Danio rerio: one gene and its partner. The protein of the gene in region 2 interacts with the protein of the main gene of each other region in a pairwise test. Links are inferred from orthologs where the notes say so. Each region holds a gene or a part of one and is shown on either strand. Other genes may lie near its edges.

Evidence for each region.
Region 1: the proteins of pcbd1 (region 2) and hnf1ba interact in binary tests that used the Homo sapiens proteins (3 or more experiments, as listed by UniProt). The link is inferred for Danio rerio from reciprocal best matches to the Homo sapiens genes PCBD1 and HNF1B.

The regions. Positions count from the first base shown.
Region 1 is NC_133190.1:18,433,541-18,437,363, forward strand, and holds part of hnf1ba (hepatocyte nuclear factor 1-beta-A), read right to left. Parts: intron 837-3,823; coding exon 676-836; intron 1-675. UniProt on the Homo sapiens protein: Transcription factor that binds to the inverted palindrome 5'-GTTAATNATTAAC-3'. Binds to the FPC element in the cAMP regulatory unit of the PLAU gene. Transcriptional activity is increased by coactivator PCBD1.
Region 2 is NC_133188.1:28,937,806-28,942,113, reverse strand, and holds the start of pcbd1 (pterin-4-alpha-carbinolamine dehydratase), read right to left. Parts: upstream 2,836-4,308; 5' UTR 2,817-2,835; coding exon 2,814-2,816; intron 2,460-2,813; exon of another isoform or gene 2,346-2,459; intron 1-2,345. Other genes in the region: si:dkey-192p21.6 (uncharacterized protein), read left to right, coding at 4,076-4,211. UniProt on the Homo sapiens protein: Involved in tetrahydrobiopterin biosynthesis. Seems to both prevent the formation of 7-pterins and accelerate the formation of quinonoid-BH2. Coactivator for HNF1A-dependent transcription.

The DNA of each region.
Region 1 (3,823 bases), on a different chromosome or scaffold from region 2:
CGCTTCTGTCAGAATTGTACTCTTATCTTAAGAAAGTATCAGAGCCCTGACAGGAGGCACAGAGCTTTATTTGAATAGGCAGAGTTGAGAGGAGGCCATGCTCAGACAAACGTCTGACTGCTCAGATAAGCTGCTGTCATACTCCCTTCCTCCTACGCCAACTTCCAACTGGCTGTTGACAGAAACGCACCCTAGACCATGATGAATTTGACCTATAGTGTAACACTGCAGCCTTGCTAGAAAAATTAATGCACAGAAAATTGTCCTGAAACAAAAAGCTACATGAAGATCTCGCCCAACTCAAACATTAGTATTCAGATAAGCAACTCCATTGAGCGCCAGTGTCACTCAACCAACAGAGAACAAGCACAACTCCACCCTTCCTCTCCTCTGCGCGGCATTTAATCAATACAAACAGAATGTCTCTTTGTCAGGTTTGTTGGAACAGCCATGGCCGTGCCCCATTCTCACTACCACCAGCTAACATTTACTAAGATCAGCCCTGCAGTGCACTGTGGGCCAAGGCCTGCCGTCTAGCTTTGGGTTTAGCACTGGGAAGTACAATGCAGCAATTGTAAGCCCACTTGCTGGGTGAAGATATCTATCAAGCGCTACTTTGTGTTACTGTGTCAAGAGCAGACATAGTGTTATCTTATCAGTGTTGGAAGTGCTTACCATCTTGGCATCAGGTGACAGGAGGCTGTGACTGGGGTCCAGCGCCCCTGGAGAGACCTGCTGTAACACTGACTGGCTGGTTGACATGGCATTGCTGCTATGGTGATTGATCGTTGTTGAAGAACTGACTTCACCTGGACCTTGTTGGCTGTACCGGACACCTGTTGTAAAGGAAGGAAGAGATAAATTAGTTTTAGTTTTAATCTTCTAACTGCTTTACAAAATGTGACCCAGCCAGTATTTGTTGGTCACTGACAAGTTTGGAAGAGCAAACAAACAAGGGCCTCTACATCTGGTGGCTGAACGGTCAAGGTCATCTCAATGTGTACACGTTAGCTGTCTGCAACTCTAAAAAACTATGTTGTGCTGAACTTCAGAACTTTGTTAAAATAATCTATATCAGTGCTGCACAATCCTGCTCCTGGAGGGCCCCCTTTCAGCAGAGTTTTTCTCCTGTCCCATTAGACCAAGGGTGTTCAAACTCGGTCCTGGAGGGTCGATGTCCTGCAGATTTTGTCTCCAACTTGTCTCAACACACCTGCAAGAATGTTTCTAGAAAGCCTAGTAAGAGCTCGATTAGCTAGCCCAGGTGTGTCTGATTAGGTTGGAACTATACTTTGCAGGACACCGGCCCACCAGGACCAAGTTTGGACATCCATGCATTAAACACATTTGAACTAGATAGTTTTTTTTAGAAATATAAGAAATTTCAAGCAAAGTGCATAGGAGCTGCATACTGCAGGAACATTCCTGATCTACATGAAATTAAGTTTTATGAGAGAATTATGTTCAACCTAAGCTGAATTCTCTTTTAGGCTATTTATTTTGTTGGGTATTCTTGACTATTGAAGGCCACAGGAATCCAGCCTGTCTTCTATCGAATCGATGTTTGCCAACCCCACGCTCCACAGATATGAACAAGGTAAACATTTCTCAATTAAGGCTAATGTCAGACACATAGTTTCACTCCTACATTTAAATACTAGGTTTGTGCAGCCAAGCGAGATGATGACCCAGCCAAAATAAATATTTATCATTTGTTATGGGATTATTCCCTGAGCTTTTCTAAAAAAGCTAGTGGCAGCAAAAAAAAAAATGACAGAAAAGTCTAATCCCTCTGCTGAGTTTTGTTGTGTAGCGGAACTACAGATACAACCCCTTTGCACACTTAAAACATTGCCAGCTCTCTACAATGTCTTGTAAACGCCAGCTCAGGACAATAAAGCACTCCATTGGGCCTACAACCTGCTTGGCACACAATAGGCCAGCAACTATAAACAGTCTTTACTTTACTACCGCACAACCACTAAAAGTGTCAGGGAAAGAACAGACTATTGTCTGACTCTATCAGGCATTCACTCAGACTGCAGGGATCTCCTCTCACGTTCAATCATTCAGGTCTGTGCTGTCTGGGCCATGCTGACCAGCAGGAGGGCTCGGTTTCTGAGGAAACCAGAAACCGATGTACAACCTCTGAGAACGCGACATAAAAGTTACATGGAATGGCATCATAAACTAAGTCTTAATTACACTATTCAGTAAAGCAATGTGCACCATTCAGTGACCAATGCTAAAATTAGCGTCTTGACTAAGTATAGACAACAGTTACATATTGGCAAAAAATTTCAGCTTATCACTACTCAAAAATTTGTTTTCAGGTTTCATGATGCTTGTGGTAATCACACAATACAGTTTGACCTGTAAAAAAATGCTACCACAAAACTTGGTTAAAATGACAGAGGGTTGCGGGAAATGCTGAAGGGGAGTGGAAGCAGGAGGGTTCAACTGGTTTAAAGGGTTCAGCTCTCCCTGGGACACATGTAATATCAAAGCCTGGCTCTTCATCCCCAGGCAGTGCTCATTATAGCACTGCCGCATATGATAGGCCTCCTGGGTCTTAGCAGGACGTATGTGGCCTTTCAGCCTTTCTATTGCCCCCAACAGTCCAAAACAAGACAAGTTAAACTGTCCTGTCCTCTGCTTGTCCTTCACTATTATGTTCAGGGGTCATATTGTTTAATTAATCATTTTAGTTTCTCAAAAAATGATATAAGCTAGTTAAACAACCATTCTAACATGCCTAAACAGGATCAAAGACCATTTTGAAAGCAGTTTGCTTTCCAACAGGACGACAACACAAACATAGGGAAGACCACAACCAGCCCCCAAAACGCACATATCAGTTGACCTTCTAATGGCGGCGAACTGGCCTGTTTGTTATCAACAGGCCAAACCTGAATCAATAAAAAAAGTTAAGTCTCTCACTGATGTGACCTGGTAACGACCTCTTTAACAAAACCCTGGTTTATGTAGTTTCCAAGAGGGGGCTGAGACAGGGAATCACCCAGTACTTTCTATACCTCGAGCAGAAGAAGAGACTCATCAGTCCTGTCTGGTCCAAAAAGAGCCAATAGTCCATCGGACAGCTCCTGCTGTTCTGCTCAGAGCACAGCCACTGCCTCTAAACCACAGCCCATAAAGGTGAGAGGGGCTTCGAGGTGTCCCTCCCCCTGGCCCAGCAGAGATAAATGAACCTTGGTTACAGTCACTACAGTCTTCTAATATGCCATAGACAAAAAGATTCCCTGCTGAGAGAAGGTAAAGAGAGCAGGGAAGAGGGGAGTCCCTTATCAAAGGACTGGGAGATGTAGTAGCAGAGGATTTTAATTGTCAATTAAGCATGCATAATACAGGCTGTGCCCTGGCAACGTGATGAGGGGTCCTGCTGTGCTATTATTTTCAGGCCAGCTTCTGACACCAAAAACAGCTGATGCTGCTGGCAGGCCACTGGCAGGACACCTTGTAAGTCCCTTGACTAAAAGCATGGAAGAGACCAACTCCATCCCGTTGCTCCCCCTTCTCAACCAAATTAACACACAACCTGAGGTCACTGACTGGTCAGGTGTGCAAAGGGAAACACCACACGCAAACAGACAAGCCACTCATTGCAGTGCTATATGCACAGAAACAAGCAACACACCCACAGAAAAAGAGCACTCTGACTCTTTAGCGCTCAGACATGAAAGAAACAGTAGGTAATAAGCTGGTCGGTCAAAGACTGTGTTGCTTTTACAGCCTAGTCTTGCCATATCAAACTAAGTCAATAAATCCTTCTGGGAATACAATTCATTAGATAACACAAGAGTGG
Region 2 (4,308 bases):
TTAGATACAGTATATTGCAATATACATAAAATCACAGAAACCTAAAATACCACAATATTCCATTTGTCCAATATTGTGCAGCCCTAATGAAGGCCCTTTTATTTCTAGAACATTTTAAATGTCTTTACAACTCTTTGAACTCCTTTAAAGTGTATTAGACGTTATATCTAAACAATCGTTTCTCTGGGGTAATTATGCTTAGTGGTCCAACGTGTATTTTGAAGGCTTGGTAGCGGTTATAAGATGCAAAACAATGTGTGCTCATGCTTCATTTGTAGAAAATCATGTTATTTATATATATTATCATATTATATACAGCTGCTCAGCTAACATAAAAACGACTGTCAAATTTCCTAGTTCCTCTGAAAGGCCCGCCCTCAGGAGGCTCTGATTGGTCAGCTAACATAATGTGCTGTGATTCGCAGATCGGCTTCACACCACCAGGAAAAGCATCACGTCCTAACAAGCATGCACTGTTGCGATGTATAAACACTGTCAGTCAGAGTAGCTGTTAGCCGTATCAGTTTGTGCCTGAATCAGACAGAAAAATGACACAGAGGACACAGCTGAACCTCAGGCCTGCTCTCTAAAATAAAATCTGACTTTCACATATATTCAGAATAAGCATGTGCAAGTAATATGAAACGTTTACATGTCTTTTGTGAGTTCATCATTTGTGATGTAGAATGCAGGGAAAGCGGCCGCATAGAGAGGCCTTGCAGCGCTACTGAAGATTGTGGGTGTTTACAGGGTTTTGACTGACAAATATTAATTTGTAGCTAAATTGTTAAAGGTGCCTATCAGCATTTCCTGTTGTTTACATCCATGTTTACGTCCATGCTACAAAATACTGTTAACGCTAGACACTATGCATGTACACTCAAAAAATGACGTTTGCAGTTTGTTCAAACTACTTATTTAAAACGAGCTTAAACAACACAATTCATGAGTTTTTTGGGGACAACTTAATTGTTTTATGTTCAATCTACTTAAATTTGTAAAAACTAATAAGCTAACTTAATTCCTTCATGTTGTCCCAACACATTGATTGTTGCGGTTTTTACAGTGTAATAGGTCAATTTTAACAAATATTAAAAATGCTTACAGGTTGTGGCTCACAATCTACAGCTTCTTCTATTATGGTTGGAGCTGCTCCTTTTTTAAGGAGTTTTTATCGGAATCCAGCACTGAACTGGGAATGATTCTGGAAGCTGTCCTTTGTCAAATACTGGCTATATATATTTTTAATAATTCTCTAGAACATAATTAAAATTCAATTGCAAGCACTTTTCTCTTTGTGTCATGTCCTTAGGAAGCCCACATATGTGTCATGTCCTTAGGAAGCCCAAATACAGAAACAGAACAAGCCCTGTAGCATTTTGGACAGCATTTTAGCTTTCTCAGCTACATTACAGCACCTCAGGCCATGCCCTTTTGCTGCGTGTAGTGAATGCGCGAAACCTGAAGCGTTCGTGATCTCACTAACATGGATGTTTTTTGTAGTCCCCACAATTCTCACTCACTGTAGGCTTTGGTAAGCTAACTGTAAAAGCCAATGTCTCATTGAAGTTTGGCTGAATTACATTCAGAGATGTTGTTTATGTTCACGCAGCTACATTACACATCAACTAAAGTTTAAAACATGATATCAAAGTGAACCACCGCTTTAACAAAATCAGCTTTTAAGTTACAGGAATATTTTACATTTTAAAATATAATCAAGTAGAAAACAGTAAATACATATCAAAATTTGACTGCCTCTGATTTAATAAATGCCGGCTTGTTGAGCAGTACAGACTTCTCCAGTACACACACACTTTTAAATTTTAAACCCTACTATACCTATAGATTAGATTAGATTTTATTGATTGCTAATTATTTGTACATACCAATAGTTTGTTTACATATAGCAGATACTATTTAAACAGCTTTACGAACACACTCTTACAAACACTCCAATGGGGATGTTTCAGAAAAAGCACAGTGATTGGTTGTTGTGAACCCCATATGGAAACAATGATGACTTGCATTTTCAATTTTAAGAGCCTCCAGCATATTTGGTCGAGGCAATGACATTCCTAAGCAACTTAACCCTTCCCCTTTTCCCACTTTCAGTACAGATCACATGAGCTTCAAACACATGTCTCTTACAAGAAAAAAAAAAAGCATTAATAAAGAAGATGACACGAGATTTCAACAGGCTTTCCCCAGCATTCATGGTTTTTTACTGAATGAAAGGGAAATGAAGATGATTTGTGTCAGCGTGTTCTTTTGTGCTATACACACACTATTGTCCCAGACTGAACCATCATCAGTATATTGCGTCAAAGAGTCTGTGCAAACACATGTCAGTCAAAATGAAGCTCCAACGCTGATAAAGCTGACTGACATCAACAGGTCTCTTAGCAACAGCCTAATCTGCTGAACTAATGCTGATGCACGAGCGAACACACAGCGAGGTAAAAGACCTGACATCTCAAACACTTAACAGTGCAAATGATGAACATGAATGTTATATAATGAGCTTTTAACTATATTTTATAGTATATATTTTAAATAAAAAATAATAATAACTCAACCAACTGAATGTTAGGTGAAGAATGAATAAAATAGTATTATAAAAATACATATAATATTTTAAAATACATTTTAGTAACAATAAATAAACATTGTTCAACCCAATATAGTGTAAAGAGGCATGTTGTTTGGAAATTCCATGCTTGCATGTTGAGAGTATGGACAAAGACTTTAAATAGTTTGTTAATGGTACGGACGATAAGAATGCAATAGATATGTAATTTGTTTTTTCTTACCATGTTTGTGGGTGCTGTGAGCGCAGCGCTGATGTTGTCTCGGTCAAGCGGCTGGAATGGATTTCAACCTGTGGCCAGAGCGTGAGTTTACGATTCCTACTATGGTGAAGGAACGTCTTATGAATATTAACTGCATTGCGTGATTGGATGCTCACCGGGAAACGTCACGACGCGCTATTTAATATTAATTTATGGGCCCTGTTTCTGCTGCCCTGCCAGAAGCCTGAGCGAAATAGAAGTGTTTGAACTGAAGAGGCCTGTGATGCAGTTGGGTGACTTCACACAGTGAGATAATAATTAAACCGTGAACAAACTTTAGCAGTAGAACTTATCGAGCATTCATGCAGGTCGTCAGGTGACAAAAACAGTGATTTCTTTTTGTCTTATACTGCCTTCAAAATGTATTGAGGATTTACTTTATTATATTTATATTATATTATATTATACTTAATAATATTGTATTTAGGGCTTACTATCTCATTTTAGAAATCAGCCATAACTAAGGTTTTCGTAATTAATACGAAAGGATATTTTAATGTACTGTGCCATAACAGCACTCGTATAACGTTAGCTATTTGAGTAACTTAATTGAAAAAAAAACAATTGTAATAGAAATCTGCAGATAAGTTGGTAATTTGTGACACAATTAAATGTACATTAAGGGTTGTTTATTTACATTAGATAAAAAAAACTAATATAAAAATGTCAAAAAGTCCTTATTAGGGTATAGTTCACCAAGAAAATTTGCCATTTAGTCACTCCTCTCATGTTCTGGACAAGTTTAATTTTTTTATTTTCTGTTAAACACAACACATAAGAAGATATTTTGTAGAATGTTGAAAACCTGTAACGATTGACATCAATTGGAAAATCAAATAGCCTAACGTTACTATGGGAGTCAGATTTCCTTATTTTCTTATTTGTTTGAATTAAATTTTTGTTTGGTTGAACTATTCCTTTAGGTGAAGTAATTAACCCAGGGTCTTATTTTTAAATCTACATTTATTCATCTCTAGAAGAGCAATTAGACGTAGAATTAGAAGTGCTAGGGATGTACTCACTTTTATACACACTGTAATAAAAGAGCATCACAGTTAAATAATATAATTAACATAAAAAGAGTACAAACATGATAAGCGATTGCTTTCACTTTTGCTTGTTTGCTTTTCCCCCCTATGGTTTTGTTTAAGAAGATTTTTTTTCTCTCAAGTTTAATTTTTTAAACACTAAAAACTTGTTTTAATCATGTGTTTTTATAATTTATGCCATTTATGAGTAAGAGGTATCATCTTCAAATGCACTTACATACAGATTTTATTTGTGTCCAACATTCCTTTGACTGCTCCCAGGCAACTAATCCCAGCCAATCTTTGGTCAATCTTCATGTAGAGTCTTATGGTAATAAAAATGTCCAACACATCTCAAAGATCACTGCAATCACATGTACAGTGATCTTTGAGCTCTCTTTATTTTCATTTGCACAAAAAGAGGTAAA